Linked DNA regions of Saccharomyces cerevisiae S288C. The protein of the gene in region 1 purifies or fractionates together with the protein of each later gene. This does not show direct contact. Each region holds a gene or a part of one and is shown in the gene's direction. Other genes may lie near its edges. The genes, in order: PET9, QCR10, DLD1 and RIP1.

Region 1 (3,493 bases):
GATAAAAATTGCATATATGTGGGTAGAAACCTTAAAAGTTATAATAAAGGGAATCCCACGCAGGAGCGGCATGGGAAGATAATATAATGAAACGAGCAAAAAATGGAGTCAACGTATGGCGTATTAAGATTGTGTTTATTTTTATGCAGGAAGGGGAATCGCACAGATAGTCAATAACCAACTGGCCGACTAACTGCATAAGAAATCGTTGTTTTTTTTTTCGAAGGCTCATTCAGATAAAGAAATCACTACGCGTTTTGTCTGTGAAGTCACAGATTTGAAAAATGAGAACGAAAAACATAACCACCTATGAGATTGAGTCCCTACATTTTACCATTTACGCTACTAAGTTACCCAATATCGTAACACGAAATAACAAGTTAAGGGGAGGAATGAAAAGGTTATCAAAGCGGCAGGAGACAGGAGGAATAACGCAGGACGAGACCCAAAGATAATATTTCTATAACGAAGTCGTTCGAACCCATCAGATTTCTGCTTTGATTACATACACAAGCTTTGTTTCTTTCTACAGGTGATTGTATGTGGGCTTATGGTATGCCTGCAGGACGCGTATGCATGTACGACGGCACGACCCGGAGCAAAACGGCGAGTGCTCTAACGCGGTGTATGGGCTAGATTCGTAATAGGGCTCTGGGTTTGCTGCAAGGGGTAATTATCAGCGATGGAATGACTCCGTTACCGCCCGACGCTATGTACGCCTTTTCCGCGTGCGCCGGTCTTTACCGGCAGGGGAGAATGTGGTGACGGCGGAGCCGGCGTATGGTGCCTCTACAAAAAATACGAAGTCTCATTTTAGTCACACTGATTTTCATAAGAAATGAGGAAAAAGAAAAGAGATGAAAATTGAGAAAAAAAAAAAAGCATTGTCGGGTAACAAATTATGTAGTGAAGATCAAAGGATATACACACAAACGAAGATGCGCATTAGCCACGTCCATCCCTTTCCCTTTTTCCCTTTCTACTCCGTTTTTACAATAATGTACGTTATAAAACAAGCGGCTGAAGAACAAGTTGGGAATAAATGTCAGCAAGGAAGATTGGTGTAAAGTGAAATCAGATAAGCAACTTAATACACAACCTCAAAAAGAAAAAATTACCATGTCATTCATACCTATTGTATGTGGTATGAAGAGTTTCGACTCTTCATACGATACCGTTCCCGGACATCAAAACCTGTATTGCCCGAATTGTCACAATTATAGTGTCGGCCCCATAAAAAGAAAGGAATTTTTCACTATTTGGTTTATACCGTTGGTTCCGGTCTTCTGGGGAAAACAGTTGCACTGCCCCATATGCAATTGGCGACAAGATTTTAAGAATGACGAACAGCTTAATAAAGTCATTCAAGAACAACAAAACTTACGACAAAAGCAGCCCAACTGATAACGAAATAATTTCCTTTTCTTCCTCTTATATATGTATTTATATATATGTGTTCACTATAACCATACATATATTATACAGAAGTATAGACACGATTTTTCCATACGTAACAAATAACATCACGATGCACGAGCACTGTTTCCAATGGAGAACAAGCGAAAGGCGGTAAATGCGCTATGCTGATTGGTGTAGAGCGCGGGCCAATGAGAAGGCCCCACTCTCAGAGGGTGAGGTGCGATTATCGGGGACATGTCTCCGTCGATCGGGCCCACGTCGTCGCACAATATAAATACCATTTGAGTTTTTAATATTAATTTTTCACGACAACCCACTCAAAAAAGTATATATTCACTGTTAGTTATACGGAACATTGCAATACATCTACAAGTCAAAGGAGCCCCTCTATATTATTTATATTTGTCGTTGTTCTTTTTTGTGTGCTCTTTTATACTTCAGAATCATACATTAACATACATATAAGCAAATAGCCATGTCTTCCAACGCCCAAGTCAAAACCCCATTACCTCCAGCCCCAGCTCCAAAGAAGGAATCTAACTTTTTGATTGATTTCTTAATGGGTGGTGTCAGTGCCGCTGTCGCCAAAACTGCTGCATCTCCCATCGAAAGAGTTAAACTTTTGATCCAAAACCAAGATGAAATGTTAAAACAAGGTACTTTGGACAGAAAATACGCAGGTATCTTAGACTGTTTCAAGAGAACCGCTACACAGGAAGGTGTTATCTCATTCTGGAGAGGTAACACTGCTAACGTTATCCGTTATTTCCCCACTCAAGCTTTGAATTTCGCCTTCAAGGACAAGATCAAGGCCATGTTTGGTTTCAAGAAGGAAGAAGGTTACGCCAAATGGTTTGCCGGTAACTTGGCATCTGGTGGTGCTGCTGGTGCCTTGTCATTACTATTTGTTTACTCTTTGGATTATGCAAGAACTAGATTGGCTGCTGACTCCAAGTCCTCTAAAAAGGGTGGTGCTCGTCAATTCAACGGTTTGATCGATGTCTACAAGAAGACCTTAAAATCTGATGGTGTTGCTGGTCTTTACAGAGGTTTCTTACCTTCTGTCGTTGGTATTGTTGTCTACAGAGGTCTATACTTCGGTATGTACGATTCTTTGAAGCCTCTATTGTTGACTGGTTCTTTGGAAGGTTCATTCTTGGCTTCATTCTTGTTGGGTTGGGTTGTTACTACTGGTGCTTCTACATGTTCTTACCCATTGGATACCGTTAGAAGAAGAATGATGATGACCTCCGGTCAAGCTGTTAAGTACGACGGTGCCTTTGACTGTTTGAGGAAGATTGTTGCTGCTGAAGGTGTTGGTTCTCTATTCAAGGGTTGTGGTGCTAACATCTTAAGAGGTGTCGCAGGTGCTGGTGTTATCTCAATGTACGACCAACTGCAAATGATCTTGTTTGGTAAGAAGTTCAAATAAGTCTAATCTGGCTTGATTCTTAATCTAAATTCTTTCTCACATTTTCCTTTTTTTCTTCTTTGGATTTTTGGTGTTTAATGAGTGACACGATTTGTTTTGATAATATTATTATCCTCCTATTTTTTTAGAAATTCTTTTCAACAAGAATCAAAGATTCATAAAAAAAGAAAACGATGAAATTTTTTGAACAACTTTTACGTATAAAGAAGAAAAAAAAAAAATTCTAAATATCCAGTAAATAGTTTTATATTAGTAGTATTCTTTCCCACTTTTTAAATGTCATCACATGATGTTTCTTATAAAATGCAATTTTTTTATTACTTAATCACCGCCAAATAGGTCTATCACTCTTTGTGCCGGTGGCAGTACTTTGCTTAAGGTTACTGGACAATGAACCACTTGTCTTACTTTTAACCAACCGAGTCTTTACATTTGTGTGTTCCTTGGATTTTGCAGAGGTTCCTGACGATAAGTTGTTCATAGACGTCGACCTAGAGAACGTTGTTTGCTTGTAAAGTCTATCAAAAACGGAAACTGAATTCTTCAATTGCGAATTTGTTCCTTGCGCAACTGGCGTGCGTTCTACCGGTTTGGTTTTGGCGTGTAAATCTCTTATTGATATCGATCTGTGTACTTTAGATC
Region 2 (3,162 bases), on another chromosome or scaffold:
TAAATTAATTAAAATTAAAAGAATTATTAGTCATGTGATTACCATCCTACTTATTATACTAAATCGTTTTGTGGATGTGTAATTGTTGGAGTTCTTCTTATCTACTTTTTAACTTGTGTGTAATTAGAGCTGTACATTCAAGGTAAGGAATGTAATGCACCAATGATTACCTAAATCAAATTCGAAATATGTATCAGTATATTATAGGAATGTTAATTCGCTCGTGCGTACTAATTTTTCCGAGGTCACTCGCAAATCCAGAATTCTAAAGGATGAAAGTATATTTTCTGAAATCGTCAACAAAGAAGGGATGTGATATATTCAAAATGGAAAGATTCCTCCTTCTTTCATTTAGAAATAGGAAACTAACCAGTAAATTAGAAACAAAGAATGGCTCTCAATAAACTAAAGAATATACCTTCTTTAACAAACAGTTCTCATAGCTCAATTAACGGCATTGCATCCAATGCTGCAAATTCCAAACCAAGCGGAGCAGACACGGATGATATCGATGAGAATGATGAATCTGGGCAAAGTATTCTATTAAATATTATTTCCCAGCTGAAGCCAGGTTGTGATTTATCTAGAATCACACTTCCGACATTTATTCTGGAAAAAAAATCGATGTTGGAGAGAATCACTAATCAATTACAATTCCCAGATGTTCTTTTAGAAGCACACTCCAATAAAGACGGGCTGCAAAGGTTCGTTAAAGTGGTAGCATGGTACCTAGCAGGTTGGCACATTGGGCCCAGGGCTGTGAAGAAGCCCCTAAATCCCATTCTTGGAGAACACTTTACAGCTTATTGGGATTTGCCTAACAAGCAACAAGCCTTTTACATTGCAGAACAAACGAGTCACCATCCTCCTGAATCTGCGTATTTTTACATGATTCCAGAATCGAATATTAGAGTTGATGGAGTTGTTGTGCCAAAATCGAAATTTTTAGGAAACTCAAGTGCTGCAATGATGGAGGGGTTAACTGTATTGCAATTCCTTGATATCAAGGATGCAAATGGTAAACCAGAGAAATATACTCTATCGCAACCAAATGTTTACGCAAGGGGAATTCTGTTTGGCAAGATGAGGATTGAATTGGGAGATCACATGGTCATTATGGGTCCTAAGTATCAAGTGGATATTGAGTTCAAAACAAAGGGCTTTATTTCTGGTACCTATGATGCAATTGAAGGTACAATTAAGGATTACGATGGTAAGGAATACTACCAAATTAGTGGTAAGTGGAATGATATTATGTATATCAAAGATTTGAGGGAAAAAAGCTCTAAAAAGACTGTTCTCTTCGATACTCATCAGCATTTTCCTCTAGCTCCTAAAGTCCGCCCATTGGAGGAACAGGGAGAATACGAATCGAGAAGGCTTTGGAAGAAGGTTACGGATGCGCTGGCTGTACGTGACCATGAAGTAGCTACAGAAGAAAAGTTTCAGATAGAAAACCGCCAAAGAGAGCTGGCCAAAAAGAGGGCCGAAGACGGCGTTGAATTTCATTCAAAACTATTTAGAAGGGCAGAGCCAGGTGAGGATTTAGATTATTATATTTACAAGCACATCCCTGAAGGGACCGACAAGCATGAAGAACAGATCAGGAGCATTTTGGAAACTGCCCCGATTTTACCAGGACAGACATTCACTGAAAAATTTTCTATTCCGGCTTATAAAAAGCATGGAATCCAAAAGAATTAGGCTTCTCATTCTATTTTAATTATACTAGTACGATTTCTCACTCTGTAATTTAATATCAGTGTAATATGCACCTAGTTATGGGTAGTTTTTGCTAACGTTACGAGCCGCGAAACTGTCCTCAATCTTCACCACTACCTCTAATGACTGAAGAATGCTATGCGATATAACGCTGTCGCACTTTGAATATATACTTATATTTACATAGTTTTCAAGTGCGTATTACTATTGCAAAGTAGTATTTTGTCACGTGATTTTGATCCAATTAAAACTAAATATGGTTCAACCCGTTGTTTCCGCATCAAAAAACCATACCATTTATCAAGGGGACGGGATATATCACATAACAGTTTGAATGCATAATTTGTTATAGATATCTTCTGGAATAATCTTCACAGCAAAAGCGCAAGTCGAATAATATATCGATAAATACAATCCATAAGACTTAAAACTAACCTCAATGGCGGTAAGTATCCTATCATATTATGTGAGCTAGAACCGAATTAGTATACTAACATTTATAATACAGTACACTTCTCATCTGTCTTCAAAAACTGGTCTACATTTCGGTAGACTTTCTTTAAGAAGTTTAACAGCTTATGCTCCGAATTTAATGTTATGGGGTGGTGCTAGCATGCTTGGGCTATTTGTATTCACAGAAGGATGGCCTAAGTTTCAAGATACGCTATACAAAAAGATTCCGTTGTTAGGACCTACATTGGAAGATCATACTCCACCAGAAGATAAACCTAATTGAAGCCAAAACATCCAACCGGCTGAGTGATTTTATTTATTTGTTTTACGTTCTTTTCTATCATTTTGGAAGAGGAATTAATGCAAAACACATTTGTATTTTTTTTTATTTTTGCATATTCTCGATTATCTATACATATTTTTAAACTGGATCATAAAAGGTATAAAAAGTAATTGATCCATACAACATTTTTAAATATTTACCCCTCTATTTTCAGAATATTTACTAAAACATCAGTTATCAAAGAGTAGGGAAAAGTTAACTACAGGTTTGTTTTTCCTCTTTTTATGTATCTTTTGAGCTTTGTAATTGGGCAGCACATCTCTATGTTTTCAGGGAAACCTATTTCATTCGCCATTTTGATGATTTAGGCATACGCCAATGCTAACGCCGTTTCTTGTAATTTCTATTTTTTCAAATGGAGTACTTTACCTTCCTCCCGCAGCTGGAACTTTCAACCCGCCGGAAGAAAAGACCAAATAATATTATAATTAATATTTAAAACCCTTGAAAGATCATCTCTTAAAATAACCTCAAATAGTGTAAATCCAAGCACTTGAAAACTTTGCCGTTTTAGAACTCGTTAAATCCTTTAAGAAGGACATAACAGCCAGAGTAACAAAATAGTTTGCTCGTGAAAGCACCAGTGAAATTTCTCGAGGTAACTGCTAAAATAAACACAGTTCTTAAGTATGACGCGAGATAGC
Region 3 (4,406 bases), on another chromosome or scaffold:
ACTACGTATCTACCAAGTAATGGTGGTATCGTTCAACGTGATTACAAACTATTGAAAGAATTAGCTAGTCAAGTCTAAAAAGCTTGAGTTATTATTTATTTTATGATCGTATATTATTTATTTATTTATTTATTTATTTATTTATTTATTTATTTATTTATTTATTTTATTTAGTTTATTAATTTTGCTGATGAATGTTATTTCAATTAAACATAGTTTTCAAAGAACTGAAAAACCCTGATTTCTTCTTCTTCTTCTTCTTCTTCTCTTTACCATTGTCATCTTTCAAATTAAACTTATCTTCATCATCATCGTTTAAGTTATGGTTGATAGTGTTCCTGCTTGACTTTGGAGAAATTATGTTTCCAGCGCCACCTCTTCCAATAGCAAATTTTTCCGGTGCGCTTTTGCCCTTGAGCTTATTTTTAGGCTTCTTGGACGTGGACTTGATTGCCGCCAAAGCATTGCCATTGGAAGTCACCACAAACAGGTTGTCCTCGTTTGCATTGATAGTATCCTCATCCTCGATATTGCCGCCTCGTATCTCATCCTCTTCATTTCCACCATTGCTGGCCACCTTTTTTTTGTTGAAGAAAATGTTTCCTGCCCCACCTCTACCAACGACAATTGGGGCGTTGTTGTTCGGAGACGAAGTGGTGGCATGCAAAGACTGATGGCTCCTTGTAGCGCTGATACGAGACCTGGTGTTGGTCACCGGGTTTGACCCACCTTCATCCACCATATCCGAAGTTATAGGGGAAATATAATCGTCGATGTCATTGATCACGTCGTTATAGTTGATATTGTCGTTAGAGTCCAGTTGTTGGGCGGATCTCGTCAGGTGCGGATCATGAAAGATATTACCGGCACCACCTCTACCAATTGCAAAACGAGGAACCTTTTCCTGGTTGCTACCGTTATTATTGTTGTTTGCTACTGTCTTTGAATTGGATTTCAATGGAAGAAGTACGGGAGACGGCTTGGACATAGATTTATGGATGTTGCCAGCTCCGCCTCTGCCAGTGGAGACCTTGTACTCTTGTACACGTGCCTGGTTCTCCATCTCGTTTTGTGGGTTGAACGTAGCCATACTAACTTGGTCTTACGCTACTGCTGCTGCTAACGCTGCTGCTGCTTTTGCTCATATGCTTCCATTGACCGTCATTAGTATCAGCGTCAGCCTTTTTGACATAAGCCACCGCTCTGTCAGGGTAACCCTATGAAACATTTCAAAACGTTATAAAGGAACTCGTCTGGTTACAACAAGGAAATATCACTACAAACAGCTGTCCGTACGGCTCCTCAACTCTCTCAATGTTGTTCGCCTGGTCACACACAGCATAGTTTCGTCATTCGGCGCCGACGGTCGCTGTCTCTTGGAGCCTTCAAGCTCTTGTCAACCCAGGTCCGTTGTGCCGATAAAAGTAACAGCAGACCCCCACGCCCGCATCCCACTCTCTTCTCCGACCACCTCCCTCGAAGTTCTTCCCTGCCAATCCCACGTCGATCCAGCGTAGTTGGCCCCAACTGGTGCAGTAATAACCGCTTAGCGATTTTGCACTCGGAACTACATATGTATATATATATGTGTGTGTGTGTGTGGGCTGGAAAGATTTCTTGAGCTTCCGTGTTATAGTGCAATTTAAATATTGTACATCATTCCGATCCAGCTGGAAACAAAAGCAAGAACAATGTTGTGGAAGCGTACTTGCACAAGGCTAATAAAGCCTATTGCACAACCTAGAGGAAGGCTGGTGAGAAGATCATGCTACAGATACGCCTCAACAGGCACAGGCAGCACCGACAGCAGCAGCCAGTGGTTAAAATACTCTGTCATCGCCTCTTCAGCTACTCTATTCGGTTATTTGTTCGCTAAGAACCTCTATTCTAGGGAGACTAAGGAAGATTTGATAGAGAAGCTGGAAATGGTCAAAAAGATCGACCCAGTAAATTCTACGTTAAAGCTGTCCTCATTGGACTCACCAGACTATTTGCACGACCCGGTTAAGATCGATAAGGTTGTTGAGGACCTGAAGCAGGTGCTGGGAAACAAGCCTGAAAACTACTCTGATGCGAAATCCGATTTGGACGCCCATTCAGATACCTACTTCAACACGCATCACCCCTCTCCCGAGCAAAGACCTAGGATTATATTATTCCCTCATACTACCGAAGAAGTTTCCAAAATTTTGAAAATATGTCACGATAACAACATGCCAGTTGTACCCTTCTCGGGCGGAACGTCCTTGGAGGGGCACTTCCTGCCTACAAGAATTGGAGATACCATAACCGTAGACCTGTCCAAGTTTATGAATAACGTCGTAAAATTTGACAAGCTGGACCTGGACATCACCGTGCAGGCCGGTCTACCCTGGGAGGATTTGAATGACTATTTGAGCGACCACGGTTTGATGTTTGGCTGTGACCCTGGTCCAGGTGCACAGATTGGTGGTTGCATTGCTAATTCTTGTTCAGGAACCAACGCCTACCGTTACGGTACCATGAAGGAGAATATTATAAACATGACTATAGTGTTGCCGGACGGGACCATTGTCAAGACGAAGAAAAGACCCAGAAAGTCGAGCGCTGGCTATAACTTAAATGGTTTATTTGTGGGAAGTGAAGGTACCTTAGGTATTGTTACTGAAGCTACTGTCAAGTGTCATGTCAAGCCCAAAGCTGAAACTGTTGCGGTGGTATCCTTTGATACTATCAAGGATGCGGCCGCATGTGCTTCTAATCTGACTCAGAGTGGTATTCATTTGAACGCCATGGAGTTACTGGATGAAAATATGATGAAGTTGATCAACGCATCTGAATCCACGGACAGATGTGATTGGGTAGAGAAACCAACTATGTTTTTCAAGATTGGTGGGAGATCTCCCAACATTGTCAATGCTCTTGTGGATGAAGTTAAGGCTGTCGCCCAGTTAAATCACTGCAACAGTTTTCAGTTTGCTAAAGATGATGACGAAAAATTGGAATTATGGGAAGCTAGAAAGGTCGCGCTATGGTCTGTGCTAGACGCTGATAAGAGCAAAGACAAATCAGCTAAAATTTGGACAACTGATGTAGCTGTTCCTGTGTCGCAGTTCGACAAGGTTATTCACGAAACTAAAAAGGACATGCAAGCTAGTAAGCTGATCAACGCCATTGTTGGTCATGCAGGTGATGGTAACTTCCATGCATTCATCGTCTACAGAACCCCTGAAGAACACGAAACCTGTAGCCAACTTGTTGACAGAATGGTCAAGAGAGCACTGAACGCAGAAGGCACTTGCACGGGTGAACACGGTGTTGGTATTGGTAAAAGAGAGTACTTGCTCGAAGAATTAGGTGAAGCACCCGTCGATTTGATGAGAAAGATTAAGCTAGCTATTGACCCAAAGAGAATCATGAACCCGGACAAAATCTTTAAAACTGATCCAAACGAGCCCGCTAATGATTACAGGTGAGTATCTGATTTTCCTTTTTCACCCTTCACGTAAACCTGAAATATATTTCATGTAATATATATAGTTCATCCTTAAAGAAAACATACCATTTCAAAATGCCCTTTCCCAGTAGCTAATACATGCTTAAAAATGTGATATATATTATTACCATCAAATGTATTCATGATCCGGGTAGTGCCTTTTTTTCCTTCAAACACTAATGGGATGGGAAGAAACATTTCGAAAAAAGTTATGACTATTGGCAGCATCAGAGAGAATTAAACCTTACCTGTACAACGATAGCAGCTTACATCACTTCCTCGCAGTCATGGAAAAAAATACGGCACCATTTGTCGTCGATACGGCACCCACAACTCCTCCAGATAAACTTGTAGCACCTTCTATAGAGGAAGTAAATAGTAATCCCAACGAATTAAGAGCTCTTAGAGGGCAGGGTAGATATTTTGGCGTAAGCGATGATGACAAGGATGCCATTAAAGAGGCAGCACCTAAATGTAATAATTGCTCTCAAAGAGGTCATTTGAAGAAGGATTGTCCCCATATAATATGTTCGTACTGTGGGGCGACGGATGATCATTATTCTCGACATTGTCCGAAGGCTATCCAGTGTTCAAAGTGTGATGAGGTGGGTCATTACAGGTCACAATGTCCACATAAATGGAAAAAAGTTCAGTGCACTCTTTGTAAGAGTAAGAAACACTCAAAAGAAAGATGTCCTAGTATATGGAGAGCATATATTTTAGTAGATGATAATGAAAAGGCTAAGCCCAAGGTCCTTCCCTTTCATACTATATACTGTTATAACTGCGGTGGAAAGGGGCACTTTGGTGATGATTGCAAGGAAAAACGATCATCTAGAGTACCTAACGAGGATGGAAGTGCGTTCACTGGTTCTAATTTGTCAGTTGAGCTAAAACAGGAATATTACCGTCACATGAACAGAAATTCGGA
Region 4 (3,233 bases), on another chromosome or scaffold:
TCCAGCAAGATTGTATTCCTTTAAAAACAGGTTTTCACTATAGCAACTCTTAAGTAGGCAAAGAAAATAAACGTGTGATTTACCTGTGCATGTGGCGTCGTCAAGCAAATCCTCCCTGCTAATAAAATCAAAGGAGATAATTTCTTCGCCATCGGTGGCATAAAATCTTTCGACTATTCCTTCTCTGAAGTCAAAGGAGTAAATTGTCGTACATAACGTATGCAAATCACTATCATATGATATGTTTTTATTGCAAGTGTATAAAACACCCTCAAAGGAAGCATTTAACCAGCTGGAAGTTAATAAAGAAATAGTATCCAGTTTCGGAGCCACATTAGAGTCGTAGATAATTTCAAATTTGTTATTTTCGCATTTGAATCCCTTAATGGAACCGTCGTTAAACATTAGCAGGTGACAGAAGGAAGCTGACATGAACATCGGTACAGTTGCGTAGTTAACAACGAACGGTCCATCTAAAGCGAACTCAACCTTCGCTTTCAATTCGTTGGACGTTCCGGTATACAATCCATAGCTAAAACATAAAAAGTAACTTCCTTCGTGATGAAGACAACTTACCAGCTTCTCAGCCTCATCTTTTGATCTATAAGATGTTATGCATAAAGGTAAAAAGGCCGAATTGCTATCCAATTTTTTGCAGTCCGTTTCATCTTGTCTTGCCATTTTACGTGGCAATGGCTAGTGCAATATGCAATGCGCTAACGCTGACATTATAACACAATATATTTTTCTACCCTCCCTTTCGCTGAGTTGCGACCAGAATGTCTGTTTTTCAGTCATGTATTTCTTTCCGCTTTAGGCGTTCAGGCAAGCGCGTTCAGTTGAAAGCAAATAGAACCTATAACGACGAATACGCTTAAAGGAAGTATACAGGAAATAGAAAAAGAAGCGTACTGCATGTACTAAAAACCAAAAAAAACACCACATCGGCTCTCTGGTTGTATCCATACTTTCCCTAAAATTTTGTAACTCAAGAAAATACCTACATAAAACGATAATCAGTGGATTGCACTGATCAAGTCGAAAAACTCCGTACATGCCCGTCTATCCCTGTCTCATCCATATAAACTGAACTAGGTAGAAAAAAATACCTACCCTTTCTTTAACCGCCTGGTATATTAAATACCATTGTCAATTGAGAAGCTAACAGCCATTGTAAGAGTTATGTCCAGTGTCCGACTAAGACAAGGTAACCATACGTTGATAGCTATGAATACCCCAGAGGAAGATTATTCTTTCTCATAAATCCTTTTTATTGGTTTCAAAAATCCACCAATAAGTTCATATAGCTTGGGCGGCTATTCATGCGTAATATAATGTGCATGAAGTACGACCCATCGACTCTTAGAGCAAATGCTTCCTAAATTGAAATAACTAGCCGCCTTTAATTCGAGCCTTCTTGTCATCTTGTGTATTTCATCCTTTCAACTTCTCCTGTTCCACCTTTCACTCTAAGCTTCCCTATCATTTGGCCTCTTTCAGGTTCGTCCATAGCGCATCTTTTTCCTTTTAGACACTCCATAACGGACCAATCAGCGTTTTGCGCCATTTATCGGTCTTGGGTCACGTGCGGCGACGCGGAGGCTCCCTTATAAGGACTGGAAAAAGACCTGCAAGAACTATAGTTGGTTCTTGAATATCAAGTAATATATTACTTCTCTGTCGTAACTTTTTGTTGCTTTCAAGTTCAACGTCTTTTAAAAACCAAGAAATTATTGAACATAAATAATATCACTCTAACACTTATTAGGAAACCGAAAGGAGCAATAACAAACATGTTAGGAATAAGATCATCTGTCAAGACCTGCTTCAAGCCAATGTCTTTAACTTCCAAAAGACTGATTTCTCAATCTTTGCTGGCTAGCAAATCCACGTACAGGACCCCAAATTTTGATGACGTTTTAAAGGAAAATAACGATGCTGATAAAGGCCGTTCTTATGCTTACTTTATGGTCGGTGCTATGGGTCTTTTGTCATCTGCAGGTGCCAAATCAACCGTAGAAACCTTTATTTCATCTATGACCGCTACTGCCGATGTTTTGGCTATGGCTAAAGTTGAAGTTAATTTAGCGGCTATCCCATTGGGTAAAAACGTGGTTGTCAAATGGCAAGGTAAGCCTGTGTTCATTAGACACAGAACTCCTCATGAAATTCAGGAAGCCAACAGTGTGGATATGTCCGCTTTGAAGGACCCACAGACCGATGCTGACAGAGTCAAAGACCCTCAATGGTTAATTATGCTGGGTATTTGTACTCACTTAGGTTGTGTTCCAATTGGTGAAGCCGGTGATTTTGGTGGTTGGTTCTGTCCTTGCCATGGTTCACATTATGATATTTCCGGTAGAATCAGAAAGGGACCTGCCCCCTTAAACTTAGAAATTCCTGCTTATGAATTCGATGGTGATAAGGTCATTGTTGGTTAGGTTTGTTTTTCGTCCTCGAAAACTACATCTTTATTGTCTATTTGTTTCACCCTTATTTTGATTTTTCATTTACTATCCATTATGTTATGAACGGGAACTATACAACTAACCTAAGAATTTTGAAATCACAACAAAAATAATCAACATCACAGTCTCGAAGGGATTACGCTCAAAAAGGAACGAAAATCACTATACTGTATTCCCTGTTGATTTTCCTAAGAATATATTCTTATACAATATGGAGAAAACAAAAGGATAAGAAAAGAAAGGGGAAATAAAGAAGATTTGGACCTATTTATTACTACTTTTTTGTCTCACCATCTTCTTTTTCTATTCATAATATTTGATATTCCTTTATTTATCTGCATGTATTTATAATTAACGAAACTATTTATCTTCCCTCGTCCTGCCTTATCCTTCTTTTCTCCAAATGTTTTACCTAAGATTGGCCTGTATTTGAATATTGATGTCCAGAAGCAGAAGATTTCACATGTTGTATAAAGTATACAAGATTGTAAAAATGATTGAAGTATTTTTATATATGTATATTACCTATAAAATTTTTTATATTACGTACCGAAGGGGTTTTTTTAATGCTAAAGCGATTCATCTTGCTGTAGGTATATTTTTAAATCATCTGGAATATCTGTCCAGGAATTACTATCCCAGTCCATGAATTTCTTTTTTAATTGGGAGTATTTACTGTCAAATAATCTTGAATTGTATGTCGTTGCAAAATAACTTGCTTTTTGACCCATGTGGAGTTCCTGCCCTTCCTCATTATCAAAAAAG

What was found.
Region 2: the proteins of PET9 (region 1) and QCR10 purify together in Saccharomyces cerevisiae (affinity purification with western blotting; 3 studies listed by BioGRID, with this or other methods). This does not show direct contact.
Region 3: the proteins of PET9 (region 1) and DLD1 purify together in Saccharomyces cerevisiae (affinity purification with mass spectrometry; 3 studies listed by BioGRID, with this or other methods). This does not show direct contact.
Region 4: the proteins of PET9 (region 1) and RIP1 purify together in Saccharomyces cerevisiae (affinity purification with western blotting; 3 studies listed by BioGRID, with this or other methods). This does not show direct contact.

Annotation. Positions count from the first base shown.
Region 1 is NC_001134.8:162,399-165,891, reverse strand, and holds PET9 (ADP/ATP carrier protein PET9), read left to right. Parts: upstream 1-1,894; coding exon 1,895-2,851; downstream 2,852-3,493. Other genes in the region: YBL029C-A (uncharacterized protein), read left to right, coding at 1,120-1,404; SHE1 (She1p), read right to left, coding at 3,177-3,493.
Region 2 is NC_001140.6:105,665-108,826, forward strand, and holds QCR10 (ubiquinol--cytochrome-c reductase subunit 10), read left to right. Parts: upstream 1-2,161; coding exon 2,162-2,167; intron 2,168-2,230; coding exon 2,231-2,458; downstream 2,459-3,162. Other genes in the region: oxysterol-binding protein related protein OSH7, read left to right, coding at 391-1,704; LEU5 (coenzyme A transporter), read left to right, coding at 3,148-3,162.
Region 3 is NC_001136.10:144,875-149,280, reverse strand, and holds DLD1 (D-lactate dehydrogenase), read left to right. Parts: upstream 1-1,691; coding exon 1,692-3,455; downstream 3,456-4,406. Other genes in the region: GLT1 (glutamate synthase (NADH)), read left to right, coding at 1-78; PAR32 (Par32p), read right to left, coding at 203-1,090; AIR2 (TRAMP complex RNA-binding subunit), read left to right, coding at 3,763-4,406. UniProt on the Saccharomyces cerevisiae protein: Catalyzes the stereospecific oxidation of D-lactate to pyruvate.
Region 4 is NC_001137.3:105,467-108,699, forward strand, and holds RIP1 (ubiquinol--cytochrome-c reductase catalytic subunit RIP1), read left to right. Parts: upstream 1-1,793; coding exon 1,794-2,441; downstream 2,442-3,233. Other genes in the region: YEL025C (uncharacterized protein), read right to left, coding at 1-681; YEL023C (uncharacterized protein), read right to left, coding at 3,038-3,233. UniProt on the Saccharomyces cerevisiae protein: Component of the ubiquinol-cytochrome c oxidoreductase, a multisubunit transmembrane complex that is part of the mitochondrial electron transport chain which drives oxidative phosphorylation.